3 linked regions of the Macaca fascicularis genome follow. The protein of the gene in region 3 interacts with the protein of the main gene of each other region in a pairwise test. Links are inferred from orthologs where the notes say so. Each region holds a gene or a part of one and is shown on either strand. Other genes may lie near its edges.

Region 1 (4,284 bases), on a different chromosome or scaffold from region 3:
TCTCTTTAAGTTTCCTTCTACCCAAAACTGTTTCCTTAGTTTCTTAATTGGGTCCCACACTGTTCTTGCCTGAGACTTGTCCAGTTTCATTTCTTCTCCCACTCAAGGCCCAGTTGTAGAACACAGGTGAAGTAATTTGGGTTAATCACATTAACAGCAACTTCAAGGCCCTCCATGACTCAAAAATTACTGATAAAACCAAACTTTTCATGGTGTCCTGTATAATGTATACTGTTTCTGGACTTCAGAACTTTGTTCCTGCTGTCCCTTGTCTCCTCCGCAGTTATAAAGTCCTTTCTAATGTGAAATGTGCTCTGACTTTCCAATTAGCATATATACATATATATATATATATTTTTTTTTTTTTTAACACAACCCAGCTTGTAAATTGGCGCTGCTTCTGTTATTATCCTGTAAGTCCTTAAAGAGTTCTTAAATAGGCCGGCCGCCGTGGCTTACATCTGTAGTCCCAGCACTTTGGGGAGGCCAAGGTAGGTGGATCATCTGAGGTCAGGAGTTCAAGACCAGCCTGGGCAACATGGTGAAACCCCACCTCTACTAAAAATACAAAAATTAGCCGGGAGTGGTGGCACACGCCACCACTCAGCACTGTGGGAGGCCGGAGTGGGATGATCTCTTGGGCCTGGCCAACATGGTCAAACCTCATCTCTACTAAAAATACAAAAATCAGCAGGGCGTGGTGGTGGGCACCTGTAATCCCAGCTACTCAGAAGGCTGAGGCACGAGAATCGCTTAAACCCGGGAGGTGGAGACTGCAGTAGGCCAACATCGAGCCACCACACTCCAGCCTGGGTGACAGAAGAAGACCCTGTCTCAAAATAATAATAATTACTTAGATATTTAAATACAAACGTTTTCCAATCAGGAATATATTCTAATAGGTATTTTCCAGAAACTGGAAAAACCTGAAAGCCTAGAAGTGGAGTTTTGGGATTTCAGGCAGGTAATGTCCCAGGCACCTTAAGAGATTTTTTTTTTTTTTTTTTTTTTTTTTGGTCACTGGCCTAAATCAGCACCACCCGCCCTGTGACACCAAATACTGCACCACAGCCCACCCTGGCCTCTTGAACTGAGCTAATCGGATACTACTGGCAAGATTTTTATTCCATCAAACTCTACTTCTTCTGAGCTTTCAACAAGCCAGACAAACAGTAACTCACTGTCGCCTGAGTTTCTTATTCACTATACCGTTCTTGGCTTCAAACCAAGCTAACACGTAAAATCTTTCATTCGAACCTTCCTCACCGCAGGGTCCTAACAGCAAAGCCCAAAGGAAGCAAAATTTCCCTCCAAAAGCAGCTTCCAAATTCTGCAACGTAGAGAACACGCGGGCAGCCGATGAGCATGCGCAGAAACACACTCAACGTCCTAGCTGTGGGCGCCCAAACGTCCTCCACCATCCCACAATCCTCTCGTCACGTATTTCCGGTTTATCTAGCTCAGCCGTAAGTAGTTTCTCTATCAGTCGCGCCGCTGTGTTCGTGGATTTAGGTGGAAGGAATTTCTTCTCTTCGTTGACGTTGTTGGTGTTCACTGTTTGGAATTAGTCAAGTTTCGGGAATCACCGTCGCTGCCATCAACATGTCGGTCCCAAGCGCTCTCATGAAGCAACCGCCCATTCAGTCTACGGCTGGGGCCGTCCCAGTTCGCAATGAGAAAGGTACGGTGCTGACACCCTCTTCCCAGTCGAATTTTAACCCCTTTCGGCCCCAGCAACCTCCAGACCTCTGGGACACACCACTCCAACCCCTCCAGCTCTTAAGATCTGGCTCCCAGATTCTTGGACCTTTCCACCCCCATCCCCTTGCATCCAATCTTGTTCCTGTGGCCTGCTTTCATATTCAGCAAGCACCTCTCTTAGCCTCCACAAATTCCTTAGACTTGTGTTACATATATATAATGTATATTACATATATTAAAATATTCGTTACTTAGGAAATTAAGTATATATCAGAATATATATGTTTAATACATGTATTCTAGAATATGATTTTGTTCTAATATATATAATGATTAGAATATAATATCACTAATTACATATAAATACTAGAATATATGTATTGTTAGTCTAATAATTACTAAGGAACTAAGTATATATAAATCTAATAATTAGGAACTTAAGTATATAGCAGAATATAGCAGAATATATACATAATATCAGACTAGATAGATAGATAGAGACTGCTTGTTGGCAGGGCTTTGTGCGGGATACGGTCCCTTTTTTGCTGTCCGTAGAAGTCTACTTATGCTGCCCAGGCTGGACTCGAACTCCTGGGGCTCAGGCTATCCTCCTGCCTCAGCCTCCCAAGTAGACGCCACCGTGTCTAGTCTCAACATGGCTTTTAAGAATTATCTTTTAATCCCTATACATCTAATTCATTCATCTTAACAGCTTATGAATTCCATTGTATAAAATAAAGTGTAATCCACAGTTTATTCCCTATTGAGGGGCAGGTGGTTGTCCGGTTGTTTAAAAAAGTGCTGCGGCCAGGCATGGTGTCTCCTGCCCGTAAACCCAGCACTTTGGGAGGCTGAGGCGGGCAGAACACCTGAGGTCAGGAGTTCGAGACCAGCCTGGTCAACATGGTGAAACCCCGTCTCTAATAAAAATATAAAAAATTAGCCATGTATGATGGTGGGTGCCTGTAATCCCAACTACTTAGGAATCTGAGACAGGAGAATTGCTTGAACCCGGGAGGTGGAGGTCGCAGTGAGCAGAGATCACACCATTGCCCTCCCGCCTGGGCCACAGTGTGAGACTCTGTGTCAAAAAAGGAAAAAAAAAAACAGTTCTGCATTTGTCATTCTGTAGCCAATACTAGCATTATTTAGTACCTGCTGCCAATTGCTCCTCAAAGTAAGTTGTAAGAACATAAGAATTTGTGGAGCACAGTGGCTCACACCTGTAATCCCAGCACTTTGGGAGGCTGAGGCAGGAGGCTCACTTGAGGCCAGGAGTTCAAGACCAGCTTGAGCAACATAGCAAGCCCCCCCCATCTCTACAGAAAAAATTAAAAATTAAGGCCCAGCTTGGTGGCTCACGCCTGTAATCCCAGCACTTTGGGAGGCTGAGGCAGGTGGATCACCTGAGGTCAGGAGTTCAAGATTAGCCTGGCCAACATGGTGAAACCCTGTCTCTACTAAAAATACAAAAATTAGCCGGGTGTGATGGCACACGCCTGTAATTCCAGCTGCTTGGAAGGCTGAGACAGGAGAATCACTTGAACCTGGGAGGCAGAAGTTGCAATGAGCTAAGATCACGCCACTGCACTCCAGCCTGACCAACACAGCAAGACTCCATCTCAAAAAAGAAAAGAAGGAAAACAAACTTCGAGAACCTAAGAGCTTGGCCGGGCGCGGTGGCTCAAGCCTGTAATCCCAGCACTTTGGGAGGCCGAGGCGGGTGGATCACGAGGTCAGGAGATCGAGACTATCCTGGCTAACATGGTGAAACCCCGTCTCTACTAAAAATACAAAAAACTAGCCGGGCGTGGTGGCGGGCGCCTGTAGTCTCAGCTACTTGGGAGGCTGAGGCGGGAGAATGGCGTGAACCCGGGAGGCGGAGCTTGCAGTGAGCCAAGATCAGGCCACTGCACTCCAGCCTGGGAGACACAGCGAGACTCCGTCTCAAAAAAAAAAAAAAAAAAAGAGAACCTAAGAGCTTTATTTCCCATATATTCATCATCTACAGACTTGGTTATACCAAATTTTTACATTTTTTGCCCAATCTGACAGGTGTTGAAATGGTATGTCATTATTCTAATTTGCATTCCCCTGATTACTAGTGATGCTGGGCTTTTTTGTTTTTTTTTTTTTTCACTCTTGTTGCCCAGGCTGGAGTGCAATGGCACCATCTCGGCTCACTGTAACCTCCTCCTCCCGAGTTCAAGCGATTCTCCTGCCTCAGCCTCCTGAGTAGCTGGGATTACAGGCATGGGCCACCATACCCAGCTGATTTTATATTTTTAGTACAGATGGGACTTCTCCATGTTGGTCAGGGTGGTCTCAAACTCCTGACCTCAGGTGATCCGCCCGCCTGGGCCTCACAAAGTGCTGGGGTTACAGGCGTGAGATTTATCAACTTGATCTTTTATAGTTTTAGCTTGTTTTTTGGTATATCGTTTAAAAAATAATCCTTCCCTGCACTGAGATCACAGATACTCGTATTGTAAAGGTTTTCTATCTTCTGAGTGTTTGTATATATTAAATTGAATTCAATACACACTTATACAAGACAGATTATAAGTTAGGAAGCTTACAGTC
Region 2 (4,128 bases), on a different chromosome or scaffold from region 3:
AAATGTCCCTCAATGAATGAATGGATAAACAAGATGTGGTCTATCCATACAATGGAATAGTATTCAGCCACAAAAAGGAATGAAGTACTGATACTAGCTATAGTGTGAATGAACCTTGAAAACATTATGCTAAGTGAAAGCAGCTAGTCACAAAAATGCACATATTATGTGATAACACGTATATGAAATGTTCAGAATAGAGAAATTTATAGAGACAGAAAGTACATTAATGGTTGCCAAAGGCTGGAGGAACATGGGATAGAGAGACGATAGCTAAAAGGTTCTGGGTTATTTTTTGAAGTGATAAAAATGTTCTAAAATTAACCGTGGTGATAGTTGTACATATCTGTGAGTATATTAAAAATCTATGCTAAGAATTTTTCACTTTAAATGGGTGAATTGTGCAGTATGTGAATTTCCATGTTAATAAGGCTGAGTTTTTTAAAGAGTAAGGCAACGATAAAAGATTACACACAAAAAATACAAAGGATATGAAGAGACAATTCCCAGAAGAGGAAATGAAGTGGTCAATACACAAGACTTGTTATTGACCTCATCAGTAGTCAGAGAAATGTAAAATAAAGCAATGAGACATATTTTTATTTAACTACATTCTATTGACAAGAATTAAGAAAGAATAAAACATACATATGATGCTTGAAATAATGCAGAGCAATGACCTTTTCACACATTGTTGGGTAGAGTTTAAACTGCTAGTTTTGAAAGGTAGAATGGCCATGTCCATTAAATTTAAAGTACTCATACTCTTTGAATTCATGGCCTCTCTTTTAAGACTCTAGCTCATAGAAATAAAATACGTGTGACTACACTTTAAAGAATCTTTACTGCAGCATTGTTATGACAAAAGGGAAATTAGGTGGAAATGGAAAGATATTTATGATGCTTTATTAACTGCAGAAAGCAATTATTAATTGAAAGTAAGGCCTCAGTTTAATTTTTGTAAAAACAAACAGCAATAAATGTATATGGGAATACAAACACATATAATATTTGTGTGTTTACGTGAGCATGGAAACACTTGTAGACTAATATATAATTATGTACCTTCCCTTTCTTGAGTAGTTTTGTATTGCTTTGCTAGTTTCAATGAAAAGGTATGACATTTGCAGTCTGAACGACAGAAAACATTTTTAATTAACAGAGGGTGGGTGGGGTAATTAGAAAGGGAGGGAACGCGCTAATTTTGCAGCCATTTTGTGTGCGCTCCTCTTACAGACAGTGCGGCGGCCCAGGCGTCGCATCTACGCTGGGGATTACAGTAACCCGGTTGTCAGTGATGAGTCAGAGTGCGTGGTGCTGATGCTGCTGCCATTTCATCACCTTTGCAAGCGCAGCATCCATCCCTCCGCTATCCGGGCGCCTGGGCCTACCCAGCTTCGGGTTCCCAGGTCAGCGATGCGCTCGCGGCTGAGCTAGATCCTGCCGAGCCGCGCTCTCTGAGGCGTCGGCGGGGCGCCCCCTCCCGCCGTCCCGGGTCCGAGCCAAGGAGACCTGCAGAGCCGCGGCCATGGAGGCCATCTGGCTGTACCAGTTCCGGCTCATTGTCATCGGGGATTCCACAGTGGGCAAGTCCTGCCTGATCCGCCGCTTCACCGAGGGTCGCTTTGCCCAGGTTTCTGACCCCACCGTGGGGGTGGATTTTTTCTCCCGCTTGGTGGAGATCGAGCCGGGAAAACGCATCAAGCTCCAGATCTGGGATACCGCGGGTCAAGAGAGGTTCAGGTGGGAGCGCAGTCCGGGCCCGCAAGCAGTGGGAGGGTCTTCGGGGTTTGCACAGCCTCTGGGGAGAGAGAACTTCCTGGTCCTAGTCGCGGTCCAGGAGGGCAACACTAAGGGTCTTGGGGAGTCTACCGAAGCCCACCTTTGGCTAACCCGGAGCAGTGCAAGGAAAGAAGCGCCCTGGCAGGGAAGGCCGGTCAATAACACATATTGCTTGCACCACAACTCCACCAACCTGCCCCTTGGTGGCTAATAAACTAGCTGGAATTGATTTCTGTATCTGTAATTCATCAATCTCAGTCCCTATGTTACGTACTTTCAAAAATGTTCCCAGGTCATCCTAACATAACTGACAGAGATTTAGATACATAAATACATGTGTATTATGTTTTATTTCCATATCTGTGTGTGTGCACATATATATGCTAACATATGTTCTAACATAAAGGAAATACATAAGATTGATTCCTTCTTGCAACCAGCACACATTCAGTGATCATCTACTATGTGCCAGACTCCGGGCTTGTTTCTGGGAAAACAGTGTGAGGAAACTCATACAAGGGGATGCCATGTAATCAAAACAGACAAAGCCCCTTCACTCTTGGAACTTCTGTGCTAACATAGTTGAGGGAAATAATAGATAATCAGCAATTACAAAAATGTGTCTTGCTCATATTTGTATGCCCACTCCTTACTGTAACACTTGGCACATAATGAATATGCTTAATTTCAATGAATTCATTGAATAATCAATGAATATGTTTACTTTCACTCAAAACCCTTTGCTTTTCTTTTGTAGCATGTATTATTTGTAATTATATGTATGAACACAGAGGAGGAAAGGTTAACTGGAGAAGATGAGACCGGATGAGTATGACTGCCCAAGCAAAGACAGGAAACGCCCAGGGATAGGAAACAGGATGAATAAAGACAGAAGTGAGAGGGAACAGAGTGTACACAGAAAACTTTGCAGGGAACAATTTGAACTAAAGTAGAGCAGCAGGAACCAGATCAAGAAAACTCAATAGCCCAAGTTTATGATCATTTGCTCATTTATCTATTGAAAACTAACTAACCATAGAAGATACGGGTTGGATAATTGAAGAGTGGTAAGGAGAAATAATTACAAACTTAAGTTGCCTCCAGCTCCTCACTTCCACAAACAACACTGTGGAAAATATCCTTGTACAGGTTCACTTTGAACTTGTGATTACATTTCTCCTAAGCAAAGAAAGGTATCTTTTATGCGTTTGTTGGAATTTCTTTCTATATGAACAGCCTGTTCACATCCACTGCTTATTATTTATTGGGCAGTATGGACTTGTAAGAGTACTTTATAGATTAAGAATATTAACGCTTTCCTGTCATGTATGTTGTAACATATATTCCTAGTTTATCATTTGTCTTTTCACATTATTTAAGATTTTTTAATGTAGGGAGGAATTTAAGGTTTATGTAGCCTTATGTCCATGCTTAGAAGGCCTTTGTCACTTTCTTTGCTAAGTACTCACAAACAATTGATTTCTTGAATCAAGCTTTTCACAAATCAAAACCTTTGTTTGTTCATGTCTAATTTTCTGGTAAATCTACCATTCTCCATGAATATTCAAACCTAAGAGACAAGAAATGCTTTCAGTCCCCAGGGCTGATTTGCCTGATTCTGGAGACTTAAACTCATTTGTAAGTTTTACTTTTACCATCATCTAGCTTGGACTGTAGGTCCCTGGACAATGCTTGTTCTGTTAACACTGGGCCATTTTCCCTAAGCTATTGATTCCTTCATTGTCTATCTTCTTTATCTGAGGAGACAGAAAACCTAAAAATAGACATAGATTTTAAAAATCACAGTAGTCTAAAGCAAGTGATTGCAGAGACAAATAGGTCTATACCCTGTAATAAGCTTTAATACACTGTAAGCAAAGTGCCATAATGTATATTTATAATGAGGCTCCTCAAGTCAAGAAGTTAAAACATGTGAAGTTTCATCTGATGGCTCCTGAGTTGGCCTCTCTGAAATGTGTCAGGAAATAGGGCTGGGAGGCACTTTGCCTGAACCCTTCACCATCTTTCTTTTTCCATTCCCACAGGCCTGGAAAATAAAAAATAAAATTGTGTTTCTCCTCACAGAAGAGATTGAGGATCCCTGTTAGCTAATAATAATAATAATTAATAATAATAATAATGGAAAGAGAAAAACATGGTAATGATAAATGGAAAAAATGGAATATATAGCAAGATACCTACTTTAAATATTTTGTTAACTATCATAAATTCATTTCTATGTTTTAAAAATCCTGTTTCAACTACTAGCATTTGTAATGAACTCTCCACGTCACAGAACACTTTAATATCCATTGTTTCATTTTGCCTCATGGTGACACTGTGACT
Region 3 (3,526 bases):
CCCCCACCTCCCAGCACACCACCCATGCTAAGGGCCCCCAGACCTCCCATCCCACCATCCCCCGTCCTACGTGTTCTTGTATAACTCCAGCCTGAGGGCATCTCTCTCTTTGGTTAACTCCTTGTTGTACTGTAAACACAGAAAGGTTAAGTCAGGATATAGCAGGCAGAGGAGCAGCTGGCCGACCAGTAACAATAGCTACAGTAACTACTCCACAGTAACACTTCTTCACTCTCAATCACGCTTGACATGTTTTCAAGGCATTTCCAAGCCCACGGTCTCATTTTGTTGTTGTTGTTGTTGTTTTTGAGACAGAGTCTCGCTCTGTCACCCAGGCTGAAGTGCAGTGGTGAGATCTCAGCTCACAACCTCCGCCTCCCAGGTCCAAGTGACTCTCCTGCCTCAGCCTCCTGAGTAGTTGGGACTACAGGCACACGCCACCATGTCCGGCTAATTTGTTTTTGTTTTTGTTTTTCTGAGACGGAGTCTCACTCTGTCACCCAGGCTGGAGTGCAGTGGCGCCATCTCTGCTCAATGCAAGCTCTGCCTCCCAGGTTCACGCCATTCTCCTGCCTCAGCCTCCTAAGTAGCTGGGACTACAGGTGCCTGCCACCATACCTGGCTAATTTTTTTGTATTTTTAGTAGAGACGGGGTTTCACCATGTTAGCCAGGATGGTCTCGATCTCCTGACCTTGTGATCCACCCATCTCAGCCTCCCAAAGTACTGGGATAACAGGCGTGAGCTACCACGCCCAGCCTAATTTTTGTATTTTTAGTAGAGATGGGGTTTCACCATGTTGGCCCGGCTGGTCTTGAACTCCTGACCTCAAGTGATCCACCCGCCTCAACCTTCTAAAGTGTTGGAATTACAGGTGTGAGCCACCGTGCCCAGCTGGTCTCATTTGTTTTTAAAAGAACTTGGTAAGGGTGGCCGGGCGCGGTGGCTCACACCTGTAATCCCAGCATTTTGGGAGGCCAAGGTGGGTGGATCACGAGGTCAGAAGATCGAGACCATCCTGGCTAACACGGTGAAACCCCATCTCTACTTAAAAAAAAAAATACAAAAAGTTAGCCGGGCGTGGTGGCGGGTGCCTGTAATCCCAGCTACTTGGGAGGCTGAGGCAGGAGAATGGAGTGAACCCGGGAGACAGAGCTTGCAGTAAGCCAAGATGGCACCACTGCACTCCAGCCTGGGTGACAGAGTGAGACTCCGTCTCAAAAAAAAAAAAAAAAAAAGGCCGGGCGCAGTGGCTCACGCCTGTAATCCCAGCACTTTGGGAGGCCAAGACTGGCGGATCACGAGGTCAGGAGATCGAGACCATCCTGGCTAACACGGTGAAACCCCGTCTCTACCAAAAAAATATCAAAAACTAGCCGAGTGTGGTGGCAGGCGCCTGTAGTCCCAGCTACTTGGGAGGCTGAGGCAGGAGAATGGCCTAAATCCGGGAGGCGGAGCTTGCAGCGAGCTGAGATCCGGCCACTGCACTCCAGCCTGGGCAACAGAGCGAGACTCCGTCTCCAAAAAAAAAAAAATACAGAGCTTGGTAAGAGTGAAAGGGACAGGAAAAGACAGTGAATTTATGTATGTATGTATATATGTATTTATTTGAGATGGAGTCTCCCTCTGTCACCCAGGCTGAAATGCAATGGTGCCATCTTGGCTCACTGCAACCTCTGCCTCCCGGGGTCATGTGATTCTCCTACCTCAGGCTCCTGAGTACCTAGGATTACAGGCATGCACCACCACACCTGGCTAATTTTTGTATATTTATTTATTTATTTAGAAACGGAGTCTCCCTCTGTCACCCAGGCTGGAGGGCAGTGGTGTGATCTCGGCTCACTGCAACTTCCGCCCCCGGGTTCAAGCAATTCTCCTACCTCAGCCTCCCAAGTAGCTGGGATTACAGGCACCTGCCACCACACCTGGCTAATTTTTTGTATTTTTAGTAGAGACAGGGTTTTGCCATGTTGGTCAGGCTGGTCTCAAACCCCTGACCTCAGTTGACCTGCCCACCTCGGCCTCCCAAAGTGCTGGGATTACAGCTATAAGCCACCACACCTGGCCAAGATCGAATTTACAGCTGGCTAACAGAGGCCCAGAGAGATCAGATAATATTGCTATTGTTATTATCATTATTACTACCACTGTTTGAACCTTTATTGAGTGTTTCACCAGGCACCATGCTAATAATCCCATTTAATCCTCATAATCACCACATGAGACAGCTCACTGCAATATTATTACCTCTATTTTGTAGATGAAAAATATGTAGTATTAGAGGTTAAGTGTTTGCCTAAGATCACTTAGACAGAGCTGGGATTTGAATAGCCAGGTATATCTGACTCTCTAAGTTCATTTGTTCCCTGGGGGTGGGGGCACAGATAGGAAGAGGGAAATTAATCTTTTGTTCAATTTTTGAAAGGATCATACATTCGCATAGTCCAAAACTCTGAAGGTACAGAAGGGAAATATCTTCCAGCCATGCTGCTCCTCTCTCCTGAGTTTTTTATGAATCCTTGCAGACATGTTTTATGTATATTGTCACAGTACATATGTACAGACACACGGACACACACACAGACACACACACACACGTTCCCTCTCTCTACACAAATGGTAACATACTAAAGATACTCTTCTGTACCTTCACAGAACAAATACCACATTCCCCAACCTAGGACTTGGCCAAGGCCACAGCCAGGTAAGGGCAGGGCGGGCACTTGGCCTCTGAGCTCTGTGTCCAGTGTTCACTCCTCACAGTGCCCCCCCACCCACCCACAGCAGCTGACTCAGCCCCAGGATGCCTCTAACAACCACACACAAAAGCAGTGACAAATGGCCCATGCTGCCTTCTGGGCAGGACACTCAACCCTGCAGAAGAGACCTTTAGGCTCACTCCTCCACCTGGGAAGCCAGGCTGCCAGGGTTCGGGGCAGGCAGTTGGACTCACCCTGTCTGCTTTCTTCTGCTGCGTGGAGACAGCAGAGAGAGCCCGCTCCAACTCTCCCACACGCCTCCGGGAATACTGCAGGCGACTGGCCAGATCTTCGGACTCTCCTGGAATGAGAGAGGTTGAGATGGGGTCCAAAGGACTCACCCTAAAGGCCTGTCAAAGTGCCAGGTTGAAGGATGATGGGGTGCCCAGATTCCCACCTTCTTTCTGCCTGGCAGCATGCTGAGTGTGAGCCAGGGCTGTCTGTAACTCAGCTTTCTCTGATACGAGGATCCCTATGGTCTGAATGTGAACCTTTGGGAGGAAACCCAAGCAAGTGCTGAAAAAGAAGGAAAGAAACATTCTCCAGAGGACAGGGCGGAACTTCACCCCCTCCACTCACCTGTAACTGCTCCCTTAGGGCTCCCTGCTTTTGGTGGCATTCTTTCTTTTCCTACAGGAAGAGGAAGACAGAGCTCTTACTAGGGGGAGGCAGAGATGGCACAGCAAGGGACATGCCCCCAGAATGCCACCAATGCCCCAGGACCGGCCCACCCATGGGACCAGGTTATCAGGGACCCTGTGGGGATGG

Evidence for each region. The genes of interacting proteins can lie anywhere in the genome.
Region 1: the proteins of GOLGA2 (region 3) and MFAP1 interact in binary tests that used the Homo sapiens proteins (3 or more experiments, as listed by UniProt). The two-hybrid records come from large-scale screens. The link is inferred for Macaca fascicularis from reciprocal best matches to the Homo sapiens genes GOLGA2 and MFAP1.
Region 2: the proteins of GOLGA2 (region 3) and RAB39B interact in binary tests that used the Homo sapiens proteins (3 or more experiments, as listed by UniProt). The two-hybrid records come from large-scale screens. The link is inferred for Macaca fascicularis from reciprocal best matches to the Homo sapiens genes GOLGA2 and RAB39B.

Annotation. Positions count from the first base shown.
Region 1 is NC_088381.1:20,408,785-20,413,068, reverse strand, and holds the start of MFAP1 (microfibrillar-associated protein 1), read left to right. Parts: upstream 1-1,484; 5' UTR 1,485-1,602; coding exon 1,603-1,681; intron 1,682-4,284. UniProt on the Homo sapiens protein: Involved in pre-mRNA splicing as a component of the spliceosome.
Region 2 is NC_088395.1:161,375,267-161,379,394, reverse strand, and holds the start of RAB39B (ras-related protein Rab-39B), read left to right. Parts: upstream 1-1,328; 5' UTR 1,329-1,528; coding exon 1,529-1,743; intron 1,744-4,128. UniProt on the Homo sapiens protein: The small GTPases Rab are key regulators of intracellular membrane trafficking, from the formation of transport vesicles to their fusion with membranes.
Region 3 is NC_088389.1:15,716,321-15,719,846, reverse strand, and holds part of GOLGA2 (golgin subfamily A member 2), read right to left. Parts: intron 3,389-3,526; coding exon 3,338-3,388; intron 3,250-3,337; coding exon 3,156-3,249; intron 3,060-3,155; coding exon 2,953-3,059; intron 130-2,952; coding exon 71-129; intron 1-70. UniProt on the Homo sapiens protein: Peripheral membrane component of the cis-Golgi stack that acts as a membrane skeleton that maintains the structure of the Golgi apparatus, and as a vesicle thether that facilitates vesicle fusion to the Golgi membrane.